Drosophila melanogaster: one gene and its partners. The protein of the gene in region 3 purifies or fractionates together with the protein of the main gene of each other region. This does not show direct contact. Each region holds a gene or a part of one and is shown on either strand. Other genes may lie near its edges. The genes, in order: Mau2, TBPH and Nipped-B.

The links.
Region 1: the proteins of Nipped-B (region 3) and Mau2 purify together in Drosophila melanogaster (affinity purification with mass spectrometry, with the first as the bait; one study listed by BioGRID). This does not show direct contact.
Region 2: the proteins of Nipped-B (region 3) and TBPH purify together in Drosophila melanogaster (affinity purification with western blotting; one study listed by BioGRID). This does not show direct contact.

The regions. Positions count from the first base shown.
Region 1 is NT_033777.3:15,206,886-15,212,098, forward strand, and holds Mau2 (Mau2 sister chromatid cohesion factor), read left to right. Parts: upstream 1-2,318; 5' UTR 2,319-2,414; coding exon 2,415-3,832; intron 3,833-3,890; coding exon 3,891-4,371; 3' UTR 4,372-4,462; downstream 4,463-5,213. Other genes in the region: Spn88Eb (serpin 88Eb), read right to left, coding at 1-176, 239-1,219; CG6654 (uncharacterized protein), read right to left, coding at 4,661-5,213. UniProt on the Drosophila melanogaster protein: Required for association of the cohesin complex with chromatin during interphase. Plays a role in sister chromatid cohesion and normal progression through prometaphase.
Region 2 is NT_033778.4:23,858,198-23,864,481, forward strand, and holds TBPH (TAR DNA-binding protein-43 homolog), read right to left. Parts: upstream 4,397-6,284; 5' UTR 3,250-4,396; coding exon 3,009-3,249; intron 2,947-3,008; coding exon 2,636-2,946; intron 2,579-2,635; coding exon 2,374-2,578; intron 2,319-2,373; coding exon 1,690-2,318; intron 1,631-1,689; coding exon 1,493-1,630; intron 1,421-1,492; coding exon 1,349-1,420; 3' UTR 870-1,348; downstream 1-869. Other genes in the region: bgcn (benign gonial cell neoplasm), read right to left, coding at 1-502; Cpes (ceramide phosphoethanolamine synthase), read right to left, coding at 4,973-6,151.
Region 3 is NT_033778.4:4,725,796-4,731,230, reverse strand, and holds the start of Nipped-B (Nipped-B), read left to right. Parts: upstream 1-2,213; 5' UTR 2,214-2,452; intron 2,453-2,679; 5' UTR 2,680-2,731; coding exon 2,732-2,798; intron 2,799-2,879; coding exon 2,880-3,051; intron 3,052-3,106; coding exon 3,107-3,222; intron 3,223-3,277; coding exon 3,278-3,437; intron 3,438-3,496; coding exon 3,497-4,383; intron 4,384-4,442; coding exon 4,443-4,607; intron 4,608-5,435. UniProt on the Drosophila melanogaster protein: Plays a structural role in chromatin. Involved in sister chromatid cohesion, probably via an interaction with the cohesin complex.

The DNA of each region.
Region 1 (5,213 bases), on a different chromosome or scaffold from region 3:
CTGGATCGGCTGACCAAGAGGATGGTGGCCGCTGCCGCAGTGCTGCCCACTTCGTCCACTTTGATCTTGGCCAGATGTTGGGCGTCATCGATGACAAGGGAAATGGGATCGGCAGTCAGGTCTCCAAAGGTGGCGTTTCTCGTGAACATTGTGTTCACTCCCATTAAGCTGAGGATCTGAAAAGGTAACAGCTTACGTGTTAGTGCGACTCAAGTGGTCCAGTTAGGTCATAGCTTACAGGGGTCAGTTCCAGGCGCTGCTCAAACTGGAACTTGGGCAGCGACAACTCGATCTTCTGCGGCAATGCCCGTTCGAACCATTTCTTAACGGAATCGGCATTTAGCCGGGATATGACACGGTTAAGACTGATTTTGTTGGAGTTCGGCAGAATGATAATCATGGAGATATCGGATTTGGACTCGGGGGTGGAAATGTGCGTCTCCTTCGACTTGTATATGGTGCGGTAGGGCAGCTTGATGATCTGCGATTGCAAGCCCTCATCGATGGTCATCTTGAAGGCGCCCGTCTTGTGCATCATGTAAACCATTTCCTGCTCACGCTCGTTAATGAAGAATGGCTTCAAGGCGGTCTCCTCCACCTTGAACTGGCTGAGCCACTGGCCCTTCATGTAGGCGGCGTTGGCCAGCACCAACATGGTGTGGGGTGTGATCTCCTCGGAGCTGAGCATGTCGCGGATCTGGTTGTGCGTCTTATCGGCTATCCAGTCGTTAATTTCCTTTAGGCCAGTCTCCGGATCATTCTTGAAATCCAATTCTTTGGTTGCCCCGTAGAGTAAAGTGTTGAATTTGTTGGAAACATTTATTGTCCTGTCGACGAAAATTCTGTTCGCAGACGAGAGCTCCATGGGACTTTGGCGCCAACGAAATTCGTCCTGCCTCTGTGCCAACGTGTACGAAACTAGGACCTGCTGTTTGTTTAATGCCCATCCCAGGTTCAGTGCCTGGGCCAGCTCACGTTCCGTCTGCTCGGAGGAACTGAAGTAGGCGAGGAGCAGGGCGTTGTAGGTGCTGAACGGCGAGAAGAACAGATTGCCGCTGGGATATATCTCTCGGATCTGTTTCATTAATGCTAAGGAGAAGTCTCGTTCTCCCTTGAAAATTTGTGAGAATTCATTTAGAAATGATAGCTCCGGCTTGTCCAAGGCAGCTATGGTTACTACGGGAAGGAGGGCCAACAGGACCAAACTGAAGGTGTGCATAGTTGGTACTGTCTAAAAATTTAAGGACATTCATTAAGTATGAACTATAAAGAATTTATGAACTAGAACTAATAAATAGTGAAGGATGTGATATTATTTCTCACAATGTGAATTTTTCCAAAGAAAAAACATGAATCATTAAATAATCTTGGCCTCATAACATTATAGTTTATTGTTCATATGTATGTATATTGTGGGATTTTGCCAGAGATAGTGTTGGAATCCTTAATCGACTTTGTGGCACATCCAAATTTTGTCGGACTATTAAAAATGAGCTTTTTACAATAGGATTTTAAATATAAACATTGACACGAGCCCAACTGAGACAAGTTTCTCAGAACCATTAAAAAAATCTCTTTCTTCACATTTCCTAGAATTCTGTATTTCTTGTATTCATCATAATTCTTATAACATATATATTTATATATATATATATATTATATAGTATATTTATACTGATAAGAAACTTTCATGTGCCGGAGTATGTGTTTAAATCGATTGCAAACATAAATTATTATGTATAGTCGTTATTGATACAAGCGTATGAAATATTTATTTTAAAAGAATCTTGGGTTTTACCTTAACGGAATTTTGCACAGAACTTAAATCAAAACGGAAACAATGGTGGTCCAACCGATTGCACTTACAATCACTGACTAATGCATGTGGCAATAAACGGCAGAGCTAGGCTTAAAAATAATGAGAATAATGCGATAAGCGGGCGAAATCGCAGCTGATCCTCGAATTTAAATTGATAACGTACTGTTCCGTCACTGAAATAAGACGGTTTTTCTAAACAGTGATTTAAAGTAAGAATTGGTTTCCTAATTGGAGTTCTGCTAAATTTACCATGTTTAAATAATATTATCTCATTTTTCTATATTTATTAAATTTATTTAGTTGATTACTGCAAAAAGAAATAATTTTTGATTCGTACAGAAATATATATTATCTACTCAGTTTTGTTTTTAAGCGATAGCTTTTTTCAAGTTTTATGTTCTGCTGAACGGGACCATTCGCGGTACTGAAAAAGAGTGACTGCCACTGTGACTGCTAAACGATAACCGCTAAAGCTTGGTTCACCACTAGAATTCCGCACTTGACAACACTGGCAGCCACCACCGTGATTGAATAGTCGCGAATTGACAACAAAATTACGCGATAAACAAACCGAATTTGGCACCCGCTCACCGAAATGAGTGCATCGACGAGCACGTCGACGGCGGCGTCCCAGGACGCCTGCTACATATCGCTCCTTGGCCTGGCGGAGTACTTCCGCACCTCGCAGCCGCCGAACATCAAGAAATGCATCCAGTGTCTTCAAGCCCTGTTCACATTTATGCCGCCCTCGAAGGTCGAGGCGCGGACACATTTGCAGATGGGCCAGATCCTGATGGCCTACACTAAGAACATCGATCTGGCGCGCCAGCATTTGGAGAAGGCGTGGAGCATATCCGAACCGCTGCCCAATTTCGACGTTAAGTTCGACACCGCCTCGCTGCTGGCCCAACTGCATCTGCAGACGGACAGAAACTCGCATCAGGCCAAGGCGATGCTCCGGCGGGCCGTGGAACTGTCGCAAAACAACGTCTATTGGCACTGCAAGCTGCTGCTCCAGCTGGCCCAAATACATGCCAGCGATCGCGAGTACTCGCTGGCCTCCGAACTGCTGGCCGTGGGCGCGGAAAGTGCCGACGAGGCGAGCGCCACGTACCTGAAAGTGCTCTTCCTGCTCTCGCGCGCCATGATCCTTATGATCGAGCGCAAGACCAACGACGTGCTCGCCCTGCTCAACTCCGCCGGCCAAATCATTGACAACAACATACCCAATCCACACCAGAAGGAGTACCTGAAGGTGTTTTTCCTGGTGCTACAGGTGTGCTACTACCTGGCCCTCGGGCAGGTAAAAACGGTGAAGCCTAGTCTCAAACAGCTGCAGATGTCCATACAAACGATAATGGCGCCAAATTGGCCTTCGGATGAGGCGATTTTCGGGGCAAATCAACTCGAGATGTTTGTGTGGCTGCCCAAGGAGCAGCTGTACGTCCTGGTCTATCTGGTCACTGTCTCCCACTCAATGATGGCGGGCTACATGGACAAAGCACAAAAGTACACGGAAAAAGCACTCACCCAGATCGAAAAACTTAAGCAACAGGAGGACAAACCCATTCTATCCGTATTCAAGGTGATTCTGCTGGAGCACATTGTGATGTGCCGCATGGTGATGGGCAACCGGGAACTGGCTATCCGGGAAATAGCAGCCGCGAGAGACGTTTGCATGGCCGCTCCGCAACGCAGCCTGCTACGGCGACACTCGGCTCAGCTGCACTGCCTCATCGGGCTCTACTCCATGTCCACCAACCTCTTTGAGCATGCGGAGAGGCAGTTCGTCGTGTGCGTGAGTGAGACCAGCGAGCGAGACCTGAAACTGTTTGCCAACCTCAACCTGGCGATCATTTATCTGCGCACCAAGCGGGACACGGACCTCAAGCAAATCCTGGATGCCGTCTCAACGGAAAACACGCACACGTATAGCAGTCAAGCGCTGATGGGAGGCTTCTACTACGTCCAGGGACTGCATGCTTTTCACAAAAATAGCTTCCACGAGGCGAAGTTAGTCACCTTAAGCCAAGACTCTAGAATGTAAACTGATAATCTTTATTCTTTTCAGACGCTTTCTGCGTGAAACTCTGAAAATGGCCAACGCCGAAGACCTCAACCGACTGACCAGCTGCTCGTTGGTTTTGCTATCGCACGTCTTTCTCAGCATCGGAAACTCAAAGGAAAGCATGAACATGGTGACGCCGGCCATGCAACTGGCCAGTAAGATACCCGACATCCACGTCCAGCTGTGGGGATCGGCAATACTAAAGGACCTGCATCGTATGTCAAAGGATGTGCAGCATGAAAAAGATGCTTATGCTAACCACGTTAAATACTCGGAGAACCTGATTGCAGACCAGCGCAAGTGCGTCCAAAGTGCGCATCACGAACTCGTCAACTGGTTCCAGGGCGATCCGCCAGTGACGAGTGGTCCGCCGGCTGCTCCCGTCCTGCTCATGCCAGAGTCCTCCGTTACAGCCTCAGTCCCCGTCATCGCCTCCACATCGACAGCCATGCAGCCGGCGGGGCAATACGGTCAGTTCTACTAGCAATGAGATGATTATGCAATGTAACTTTAAGCTTTTATTTTTATCTACGACCTAGCGACTAAGTTAAGACTAAAGATGTTCTAAAGTTGTGAATTTTGTCATAAACTGTGTTCCCGAGGGAAAGAGTAGACGGAAATGTAAAGCGGATGAGTTGTGCGCATTTGAGTTGGGTCGTTCAACTTAGGATTATAATCATTATTACAATTAAAAGTAAGGATCCGTCTTGGGTATTAGGCAAACTCAACCACCTTTACAAAAGCCGCCTTGCTTGCACAGCTTCTACATTGATTTATAGCATAAGCGCAGACTCGGTCATCTCGTTAAGTTCCTCTTCAAGGGCCCCGCTTCCGTTTTCCTTGTTGCTTAGAAATGTGAAGTGCACCAGGCGTTTGTCGTGCTGCTCGTGGCCGGCCAGATGTGATCGCATCTCGGGCATCGACTTGAACTCCTCATTGCACACCGGACAAATGTAGATCCGCTCGCCCTGATGTGTACGCTGGTGCATCTGGCAGTCACCCCGCTGCGTAAAGGTCTTCGAGCAGAAGGGACAGACGTACGGCCGCTCACCTGTGTGCGTCCTTCGGTGGTTCTTTAGCACATTGAGGGCAGTGAATCTCATGGGGCAGAGATCGCAGGCGTATGGCCGTTCGCCAGTGTGCTTTCGTTTGTGCTTGGCCAGGGAGCAACTAGTGGTGAATCTGGCCAAGCACACCTCACACTCGAAGGGCTTGTCGCCGGTGTGGGTGCGTGCATGAGAGGTGAGTTCCGCCTTGGTAACAAACGAGTGCGGGCACAGCTCGCACTTGAAACTCTTTGTCTCCGAGTGACGCAGCTTGTGCTGG
Region 2 (6,284 bases), about 19 Mb from region 3:
CGATCACCCGACTGGCGTACAATGACTGCAAGATCTCGTCGCTCAGCGAGTGACCCAGAAAAGCAGTCAGGAAATTCAGCTGCGCCTCCGTCCAGAAGCGCAGGTTAGGAGGACGTATGGCGGGCAGCGGCAGATGCAGTGACGGTAGGTCCGAGGCATTGGCCTTCATGGAGACGAGGTCCGCGTAAAGCTCCAAATCCTCCTTGCCCATCAAGGACTTCCTGCTCAGCAGCGTAAACATGTTCAGCGTAGCGCCCGAGGACAAAACCAGCGTCTTGGGCTCCTCCAGGTAGTGGCGACATGCCTGCTTGTACACCTTCACGCAGCTATTCCCGTTGACATGGACCACCTGCGATCGCAGCCCCAAGGAGCGGGCGTTGTTGGCGAATGCTTCGTGCTCGCTGGTGCGGAATGTGCACGGGAACTGCTGGCAGCAGCGCCGTCCCGCCAAGAAGTAGAGCAGCTGTTGCGGAATGTACTTGTCCTGGATGATGTGGTTCATTTCTGCTAGCTTCAAACAGATTGACACTAAATTAAGTGAAGTGCGCCGCAATGCGCGCGGCAATTGCAAGTTCCGTTATTGCCACCGTCGTGAAAATAGAAAAATGGCGGAATGGAACACAGGGCTGTATTTTCGCTGGCGCAAAGCTTGCTCATTAAGGGTATTCCTTGCATATACTCAAACAAATGTGTAGTGGAAATTTGTAAAAAAAAAAGATCCAGGTGTCATTACAAACTGAATTATAAAACATACTTTGTTATTTTCAAAGAATAAGAGATAAGTTTCCAAGACGGGAGAGTTTCCTTTACAGGAATATATTAAAATATTCAATTCACAATCCCATAGATTCCATTCAAATGAAATGATTCACTTTGTACTAATATGCTTTTGCATTCTTTATTTTTTGAAATGAATGTACATGTTAAATGAATTCTCCTCTAAAATGAGGCTGCGCCAAATTCGTTTAGATATCTTAAAGAAAACTTTGTTATATTGGAAATTCTCCGCAGATCCAGCATTATAAGTGCACAATCTTTATAACTAAACTTTCTTAGCGTAAGCCAAAATATATTTAATAAACAACAAAATACAAATCAAATTCTACTTAAGTGATACAATGATACAATTTTTACTGAGCTTTGGCGCAGAATTTATTTTGAAGTGTGTTTTATCAATTGTGTTATTAGCCATCCAGTGTCATCTTGTTTACAATTATCAAAATATCTATTACATATTAAATACAATTCTTAACTGGTTTGTATGTGGAATACATATATGTAAATTTAAGTAAGCTACAGAGGTGTTGGTTAACCACATTAACCACATCATTGGGTGACAGGCACCGCCTTAAAGAAAGTTTGACTTCTCCGCGGCGTTTTGAGATCCGCTGCTCTGGTTCGACCAACCGGTGTTCCCATTCTGGAATAGAGTAGAATAGATTCTGGCTGGGATCCAGGTTTCTTAGGGGATGGTTTCAGTTTTGACTCTAACCTGTGGCTCCGAGTTGTCGGTCTTTATTCCGTTGGCGGCCGGATTGTTGTTCGGGTTATTCGGCCCCTTCCGTCCACCAAAGTTGTTGGCATTGTTGTGGCCCCCGTTCTGAGCCATCCAAGATAGAAAATTGCCGCCCTGCGGAGCAAGTGAGAGAGTTTTTTGTTTGAAACAATGATTGAGGTGTGAAGGCTTGCCTGTTGGTCCTGGTTTTGGTTCTGCAGCTGGTTGCCGACCAGGCTCCACTGGTTCAAGGCGGCAGCGACCAGTGCGGGATTGATGGGCAATGAGTTGAGATTGAGCATTGACTGGTTGCTCATGTTTTGGCCCTGGTTGGAGGAGCTCGATCCCTGCGAGTTGATGCCCAGGGCCTGCAGGTTGGGCATGTCCAGGTGGCCACGGTTCATCCAGCCGTTGCTGCCGCCCACGTTGCCGTTATGCGGCTGGTTCATTCCGTGAAAATTCGACTGGCGACTGTTGTACTGGCTGCCGCCGTCCTGGCGGTTCGTGTTCCCGCCACTGGAGTGATTGCCGCCATTGTTGTGGTAGCCCCCGCCCGAGTTGCCGCCGTAATTGTTGCCACCCATGCCGTAGCCGGCGGTGCCAATGTTGTGATTATTGGGCACAATTGCGTTCTCACCGCCGTGAGCATTGTGTTGGTTATTACCTCGGTGGTGTCCGTTGCGGCCCGGATTCATGTGGTTACCCTGTGGGTGGTATGAGTGCATGCCAAAGCTGTTGGCAGAGTTGTAGTTGTAGCTCTGGACCTGTTGGTTTCTGTTCTGCTCGGCCTTTGGAGCAGCATTCGACACATGGACCGAAACGCCTGTGGAAAGTGTCTCATTAATTCCCTGATTCTTCTCCACGCGGCAGTGACTCACCCTTGATAATGTGATCCTCTCCGCACAGGGACTGTGCCACGTCGGGATCAAGGAAGGTTACAAAGCTAAAGGCCCTGAAGGGCCGGGGAATGAACACATCAGTGACTTCGCCAAACTTGGAGAAATACTCGCGCAAGTCGTCCGAGTTAATGTCCTCGGTGCAGCGGCCCACGAACACCTTGCAAGGCACCTGGTGGCCCATGCCCTATGAGAATAGAAGGATTAGTAGGCGTGAAATTGCAGGGCTAACAAGAGGACTTACCTTCGAGTTGGGCACCTTAACCTCGCACCAGCGACCGTCGATCAGATGGCGATTGGTGAGCACGCGCATCTGGGCATCGTAAGAGCCGAAGCGCACGAAACCGAAGCCCTTGGACTGGCCCGACTTGGTGTCCTTCTTGATCTGGGCCATCAGCACCTCGCCGTAGGTCTCGAAGTACTCACGCAAGCTCTCCTCTGTGGTCTTCCACGGCAAGCCGAGCACGATGAGATCAGTGCAGCGCAGACGGGTCTCGATGCGTTTGGTCTTGGCAGTTGAGTTCTCCAAGTTATCGTCGCTCTTGCGCTTGTTCTCTGCAGGGGGGGATTACAGAATTATTTAAGGTTCAACAGGGAGTCATACAACTCGAATTTACCCTTGGGAAAGACGCAAAAGTAAGCGTACTCGCCCCAGCCGGACTCCACGCTGGGCGGAAACAGTCTGCCCTCGTTGGAGCGAACTCCGCGCACAGCCTTCGTGTCCAGGTTGCGGTACTTCAGACCGCAGGATCCAGGGAACTGAGCTTGCAGTGTGGACAGAAGCAGAGTGCCATCCTCCTCAGCCGGCAGCTCGATGGGCTCGTCGCCCTCCTCCTCCGACACTTGAACGAAATCCATTTCCTAGAAGGCTGCTAGAAACGAGGAGGGGATTAAAGAACTCTATCGCCGCAGGGGCTCACACTTCGCTCTAGAAATGATCCACCATGTCATTCAGTCAACGGAAGCATCCCACATATTCTGCATCGCTGCATTCATGAATGCACTCACTCAGTTCATCCGTTCTATTCAGATGCATCCCAAGGTACAATATTCAACACAAAAAGGTTGCCCCGAACCACTCTATACACACATTGCTCGTGGGACCAAGCCAAAACAAAAAGGATCCTACACTAGGTCAATCTACTAAAAACGACAAATAAACAATGTTTCTATCTCTTGTAATTTCGATGATATAATTTTAGTAAGTATTACAAACATATTCATATATTATTAGTGTTCATGTTTAGGCGTTTCTTTACGTTATTATTAGTTAAAAATTCTCTGAATCAGACGCTACTTATGTCCCACCATCGGCTAAATGCCTATTCTACGTACATTTAGTTAATAAACAAAAGAAGAATACCCAATCCCAAGTTTACGATGTATGGCATACATATGTATATGTTTTGAACTACTCAAGAAAACAGATATTTCACCCACTTAATACGAGTAAACTGACGTTTGTGAGTGTGGAATCGCGGCAGGAATTGGAAAATCAATGAATGAAAGCCACATAAATTGAAAATATCCAATCCTGTCGTCTGTGTGTGAGTGCAAGTGTGTGGCACACACACACACGCACACAAACGCAATCGTCGAGGGGAGGACATAATGTGTAGACGGAGGCAGTTTGGCGGTCCTAAAAGATGGTTGGTTACACAACAATTCTTACACTATTGACAGGGATTAGTTGGTTGCTGTAATTTCTGACTGCGTATGGCAAGTAGATATAGATTTCTGATCCCAGATCTCAGATCGCACGCTCTCTCACACGAATTCGATTCACACCCAGGCAAAATCAGGTATTCACTGTACGTTCCACGCTCGGTTCTTGACACAACACACGCTTCGATGCACAACCACTTTCAATCGGTGCGAAATAGGAATCAGGTAATATTTACAATTGACAGCTTAACAAATTTTCAAACGACGAGTGAAGCATTTCTTCTCGCTTTCCGTTTTGATTTTCTTTTCCTTTGTATGTATCGCCTGACGTATGCGCAGTGTGGCCGAACAGGGCTAGTGAGAAATACCAGCCGGCGGGTAGATATACTAAAAGTGTATTATTTTTAGTTAAAACAGTGCATTGTCACATAAATTTTAATAGCCTCTTTATTAAACTATATGAGCGTTGATTGCCACTATGAATATCTAAGCAATATATTACATTACAATATGGCAATTATATTGGCATTTGGTACTGTCGAATAAAATACCAAACCTTGCAGTGCTGCCCATCAGCTATACCAAAAAAAAACTTGGCAGCATTGCGCATCGTGTTCATTTGAAATTTCGAAACACAAAACATTATAAATAAATTCAAACGAAATTAGCTCGCCATGGAAATGCGTACGATAAAAACAGCTAGACTTTATTAATCAATAACATTTATTATTTACAGCTGAAGGAGTTTCGATTGCTCTTGCAGACCGCGCTTGAATGACAAAATGCATTAGTTGGTTTCGAAATATTAATGATTGGCTAACAATTATGATACATTATTATTTATACACAATTAAAAAAGGCATCGCTGATTTGCACTACACAAATATTATTGTATTTTCTCGTAATATTAGTAAAATCACAGTGAAATATTACTGCACGCCGTAGAGTTGAAAATGTAGTTCTGGGCCTCCAGAATGTGCATTTCAGTTAAACATATAGCAACTAACAGGATAATGTAACCGCTGTACCGGATCGCGCGCAGGAAGTCCCACAGCTTGTCGCAGAAGATGCTCAGCAGGACGCAGTGCAGCAGGGCGTGCACGTTGACGATGCGCCACATCCAGGCGACGCAGAAGAACCAGGTCGACTTGAACACGTAATCCTGGCAATGCGACTGGTTGCCGCTCACGTCCTCGCGCTCCAGCATGTTCTGGTAGACGGCAATGTAGCGATTCCACGCCGTCGAGCTCAGCAGCAGCTGGCCCGTGAAGCTGATCACGTTCTTGGCCACCTTGCGCGTGGTGGCCTTCATCTTCGGTATCATCATGGTGGGCTCCGGCAGCTTGGAGTCGCTCATGGGTATGATCGAGTAGCCCCTCCGCGGTGGATTGTTCTTCAGGTAAAAGAATATGCCCAGCAGCAGCGCAATGCAGCCGAGTCCGTCGCACAGGCCGTCCACATAGTAGCCGGAGGTGCCGATCTCCGAGCGCTCGCCGCGTATGTGCTTGCGCACGCGCGCCACATGCCCGTCCAGGTCGTCCAGGAAGGTGCGGATCTGGAAGAGCAGCACGCCCAGCCGCCGATAGCCCAGGCTGTCCGAGGCCACCAGTTTGCCCGCCAGACAGGCCACGCCCACATGGAAAAACGATATCATGTTGGGCGTGATGAAGGTGGAGCGCGAGAAGCCGATCACGTTGTCGAACATGGTGGCCAGCGGGGCGAACAGGTAGTGGTTGGTGTGGTCCAACAGAATGGCCTTCACGGTCACATGGCAAAGCGGATTTATATCACAGGATATCCAGGTGTGGTCCTCGTAGGACGGCTGCCGGTCGCCGGCGGTGGGTAGTTTCGTACTGGTGCTGCTGCTACTGCTGCTGCTGCTGCTGCTGCTACCACCGATGCTGCCGGACCCGGACTCCGAGGTGGACGGACCCACGACGGAGGCGGGCAGCGAGACATTCGTGTGATAGTTCCTCTCGATGGCATAGTTGTGGATGCGCAGGTAGAGCTCCACGTCCATGAAAACGTAGAAGATGATCAGCAGGAACAGCAGGGTGAGCAGGATCTTGCTGATCTGCGAACTGGGTCCGATCATGGTGACACTTTGAGGTAGCGCTTAACACTAAGTTCTTATCGGGCTGATTTCAGGGCGCAGCTGTGGGGCGGAAAGAAGTGAAGCTGATCAATATGGTTTATCGAAGCGAAGTAGTTGTCAAGATAAGCCGCGC
Region 3 (5,435 bases):
TAACGAAACATCAAAGGCGGACGGGTCCAATGCACTTGCTAAGAACAATGAACCGGCCACTGCAGCTGCTGGCCAAAATCAAGCGAATCAGAACGCCAACAAGGGCCCAAATCAACGGCAAGGACAAAACCAAAATCAAAATCAAGTCCATGGTCAAGGAAATCAAGGAGGATTAGGAAATCAAGGAGGAGCAGGCAATAAAGGAGGCCAAGGAAATCAAGGAGGAGCCGGAATTCAGGGAAGTGGTCAAGGATTCAGAGGTCGCAATGCTGGTAACAATCAAGGTGGCGGTTTCTCCGGAAGCCCGCAGAACCAGCAGACAACCGAAACCGTAGTCGGTAGTAGCGTGGTCCACGCCCTGGCGGAGGTGCAGGTGGCACGATGAACAGCACCAATATGGGTGGTGGTAGCGATGGAGATGGTGGTCCGCGCGGCTGTGAAGACTTCATCATTTAACATCGGTTTCGCAGGATTTCTGGGCCCACCTTTGAACTGGAAACAGTGGAAGTGCCCACGGAGACGAAGTTCTCCCATCGAAATCGTCTCTATGTGGGCAACCTGACCAATGACATCACCGACGCTGAGCTACGCGAGACGTTCAAGCCATACGAGCCATACGATTAGCGAGATCTTCTCGAACCTGGATAAGAACTTTAAATTCCTAAAGGTCGACTATCATCCCAATGCCGAGAAAGCTAAACGCGCCCTGGACGGATCGATGCGAAAGGGTCGCCACGATTCGCACCGAATGTCATTTTGCGGGTGATTTTGCGGAAGAAATCTCACACCGATACTTAAAACCATCGATAGTATCGATAGTTCCATCGATGGTTTTCCAGCTCTATTACAAACAATAATACCAACTGGGTCTAGTTTAAGAAAATTTCTGTTCCCACACTGAACTTTGCTCCTGAATTGTGTTTTCACTTGACGGACCCACGCGTCCGCGTCCTGACTTTGAGACTCCCGCCCATACACTGCTCGACTACCCTCGTGCACTTATTACTCACTACATGCTTTAGCTGCCTGGTCCAGAGGCGCTGCTGCCGTCTATAGGCTGTTTTATTTTCCCGTTACGCACGGCTCGCTAGAGTCCAAGGTCCACGTGTCCAGTAAACACCTTTACCGTTCGACCTCTGTGCCCTTGGCCGGTCTCTCCGCTTTACCGGGGTCCAAGGTCCAATCTTCAGCGTTTGACCTGACTCCTCCCGCATTACTGCTTTCTGCTCTGTTCTCCTGGACTTATTGTGAGTTTTAAGACCCCTCACAGTATTGCTGTTTTGCAGCAGGGGAGAGAAAAAGAATACGTATGCATATACGATATATACGTTGAGTATGCCCTAAGCCTTTGGTAAGCGTGGAAAGGCTGATTATGCATTTATATTTGGTGGCCGTAAATTGGGTGCCCACCTCCGCCGAATCCGCCTACCGACTCATTTAGTCTCCCTTTGTGAACCGGTATGTGCGCGCTTTGTAAGCAATTTTTTTAGGCCAATTTTTTTCACACTCTCGCACACTCAATGTAAGGTAAGTTTTTAGTAAGTGAGCAAACATGCTCAATAAAACGACGCTATGTGGCGCTTTTCGACTATAATTCGATTGATCGAGCTCTGCAGGTACCGGCTACGAGCTCCACATTTATTGCCAATTGTTCTTCAATCGTTGAATTATTAATTCACAAAATATTTCTCATGTATGAGAAGGACAATTGACTTTACCAAGACGCAAATTTGTTTTAAGCCTGTAGAAAATAATTTTACGTATAATTGCACAAAAAGGTAAGGTAATCATATATCATATATCAATAATTTGTTTTCCCAAGATCCATGATCTGGAAGAAATGAACTAAAACAAAATCGATTTATTCGCATACAATTGCACATCCTTGAATATTCATATCTTGTAAGCATACGCATTTCATATGGAAAAAGAGATTATGCGATATCGGTTGTTTTGCCGTTTTGAACGGCATTTCCTAATGAAGACCTTTTTATCGACTCGTTTTCACTGTTAACATTTATTGAAATAAGTATCGGGACAGGAGAAGTAGCTTCAAGTCGGTAATGCCCTAAATTGCAATAAAACATTTTTCTTTTAGAAATATCTTTCAAACATCCAAGCTCTCTACGTTTTATTGAGTTGGTGTGTAACTACATAGTCTGGAAAGGAGTATTATATATGAAGTATTAACGTTTCGGTCTGAAAAGGTATTTTTTTATTAAGTTTAGCGCGGCCACACTATCCTACAGGTCGGCCATATTCTTCAAACACTATTTCGCAAACTAAAAAATTACAAGTACTTATTATTGTAAATGTATAAGTTGGTATTTAATTAAAACGCAAAGGAGAACCGGAGTAATTCGTTTATATTGAACTGTGGCAATTCGTTAATAATTGTTGATCGCAATAACATAACGGTAAATGGTAATGCTACCGCAATTTTTTTAACTACGTAAGTAGTTGTTTATTATAAATCAATTTAAAGGGATTTATCTAATAGATTTTTAATTTATAAACTAAAAAGATAAGATAGTACATAAAGTGACTTATAATACAGCTGGACAACATCCATATATTTTAATATATTCATATAAACATTGTTTCCAATTACATTGTTTATCATGTTGATGAAATAATGTTTGGTTGTAGCGTAATGAATAATAGATTTATTTTTTTTAGCTCCTAGAATCAAAGTTGTGTTGTAATCTATCGGATTATCCTTACATTTAATATGGGGGAACGTGACAACCCAACCGTACCTGTAACAACATTAGCTGGTTTAACCAGCACTTCTGATTGTAAGTATTTTCTGTGCAAGAAAATATAATGTGTATGTACAAGTTTAAAAACTTTTAATATTTTTCTCGTTTAAATGCAAGTGCTAAGCGAGCTACCAGTGGCGGATTCGCTCCAGAGTGCTGCGTCCTTAAATAAATCTTTATTGTTCCATGCTTTGGTAGCTAACGAGTCTAGCAATTTACTTTCTATGCGAAACGAAAATCTAGTTCGACAATTGGTAACTGCCATTGAGAGAACAAACTCCGATAATATGTTAGTTGTTTAATTGATTGTATGTTTTGCTTTATTAAAATAACTTGTATTTTAGAGAGTTAATACATTGCCCAGTTCAAGACACAGCAACTAACTGTAGTACTTATCCTGAGCTTCTCCAGGGAATATATCATTTTCGCCCAGCGGTTTTTAACACTTCCATAAAAATACGTATGTTTTAATAATAAAAGCAACCATTTGTGTATTACATGAATTTCATCCACAGACTCTCCGGACCAACATACTGCTAATGCTCGATTAGAGGCAAAGAAAATGCAAATTGATTCCTATTCAATACCGGAATGTTATGCATCACCAACAAATTTGTCGATTTCAAATGAACATCAATTGCAAGACGCTCAAGCCTGCTTCAATCAGCTTACTAGGTGGCGTATATATTTTATTATTCTACAAGCCTTATATTTAATGCATTTTTCTGTTTTAGTATGACCTCAAAAGAAATCTTAGAAGAATTTTCACAAATAAATTTTAAGGAAAATGCAACAGAAAAAGATAAAATTGACGTTATTGAAAATTCAGATTTAAATGTGACTAAGATACTTTCACAAAATACTCTAAAAAAAAAGTCTAACACACCAGAAAGAAGTACGGTGCAATCAATACAAGAACAGTTTTTTATTCAGCAACAAGAAGCCAATTATAATTTAAAACATGATTTAAACCAAGTATCAACAAATGTTGGTCAAATTCAAAATATTTCTGATACTTTTCCCCAAGAGCCGTCAAATTTTAATTTAAATTCTGTAAATATCCCAAACATGTTATATGTACAAAGTCCACCTTTCACTGAATCAGAACCAACTCAAGCACACCACTCTTCAATTGAATATTTAAAAAAAAAAAAATCACAAATTCTTGACGTCAGCATTTTAAATCGACAACAGGTGTTAGAAAATACCAGCTTACATATTATTAATAAAAGTTCAACGTACCAAACGAACCAAAATGTATCAACAACTACATCGACATCTACTTCCTCAAGTGGCAAGTCCCAGGTCCGGGTATGTATAAATCGCCTTAGTATTGAGGATTCTCGCCTTATGCAACAGAGTATTAAAAAGTTTGTACAAAAGTCACCAGAATTGGCTAGAAGCATGGGGTTACTACAAGAAACGTGCCAGCAGCAACATGAAAACTTGAATATTATACCCACGAGTGCGGAAGAATGTGTATTAGAGAGTCGTGCTTCCAGTACAAATAATACAGTCAAAATCCCTATTGATACATTTTCTACTATAAAAGCCGATGAAAAACGATCCGCGAAAAGAAAACTTGCCATATCAATTGGTGACATCCCACCGGAACAAATATGTAAGTAATGAGTAATAATTTCCTTATACAAAAATTAATTGATCAAAATTATATTATAGTTTCAAAGCCTAAAATGCGTCGGGTCGAAAGAATTACACCTCTTTCGAACACAAAGTGTGTGAAGGAGGAAGTCACCCGTTCGCAAACATATCAACAATTTATTCGAAACATGGATCACATAATTGAAATATTAGACGATAGTGAATCTCCTAACTTTGACTCAGGTAAGTTCAAATACTCTGTTAAAGCTAGAGAATATTTATGAAACTTTAAGACCTATTATTAATTAGTTCGATTAATTGACACTTATGTTTACAAATATTTTTACCCGTTACTCTTAGAGTAAAGGGGTATACTAGATCCGTTGAAAAGTATGTTACAGGCAGAATAAAGCGTTTCCGTCTATATTAAGTATATATGTATATCCTTGATCAGGATCAATAGCCGATTCGATCTAGTCATATCACTCTGTCCGTATGAACGTCGAGATTGGAGGAAATATATGAACTAGAAGGTTGATATTCAGCATTCAAATTCTAGAGACAAAGATGCAGCGAAAGCTTGAATGCATTCCCCAATTAATATTGATGCAGCGAAATTGATGCAGCGAAAGCTTGAATGCATTCCCCAATTAATATTGGGGAATAAAATGAGAAATGTTTTTTAAATTGCTCTAAAGTGTGTGGTTGACCGGTTTGACAGCTTTAGGGCGTTAGAGTGGGCGTGGCAAAAAGTTTTTGGCAAATCGATAGAAATTTAAAAAATTAAAAATATGTGAAAAAACAGGAACATACTAAAATCGACTAAATACAGCAATTTCGTTATCTCTAAAGCTTGCCCTATAACTTCACAATACTATTGAGCTAGGCTTACGACTATATTTTCTTTTTCATAAGACGAAGGCTGTCCACAGAGTTTTTATTGGTGACAAATCTTGTCAATATATTCCGATTTTTTGCCAACTTGGTACTGGTTTAAACCATCAAAGGAATGCCAGCTTTGATCATCTGGATGATCCGTGTATTTCTTTAACCCTCTTGATTCTCCTTGTC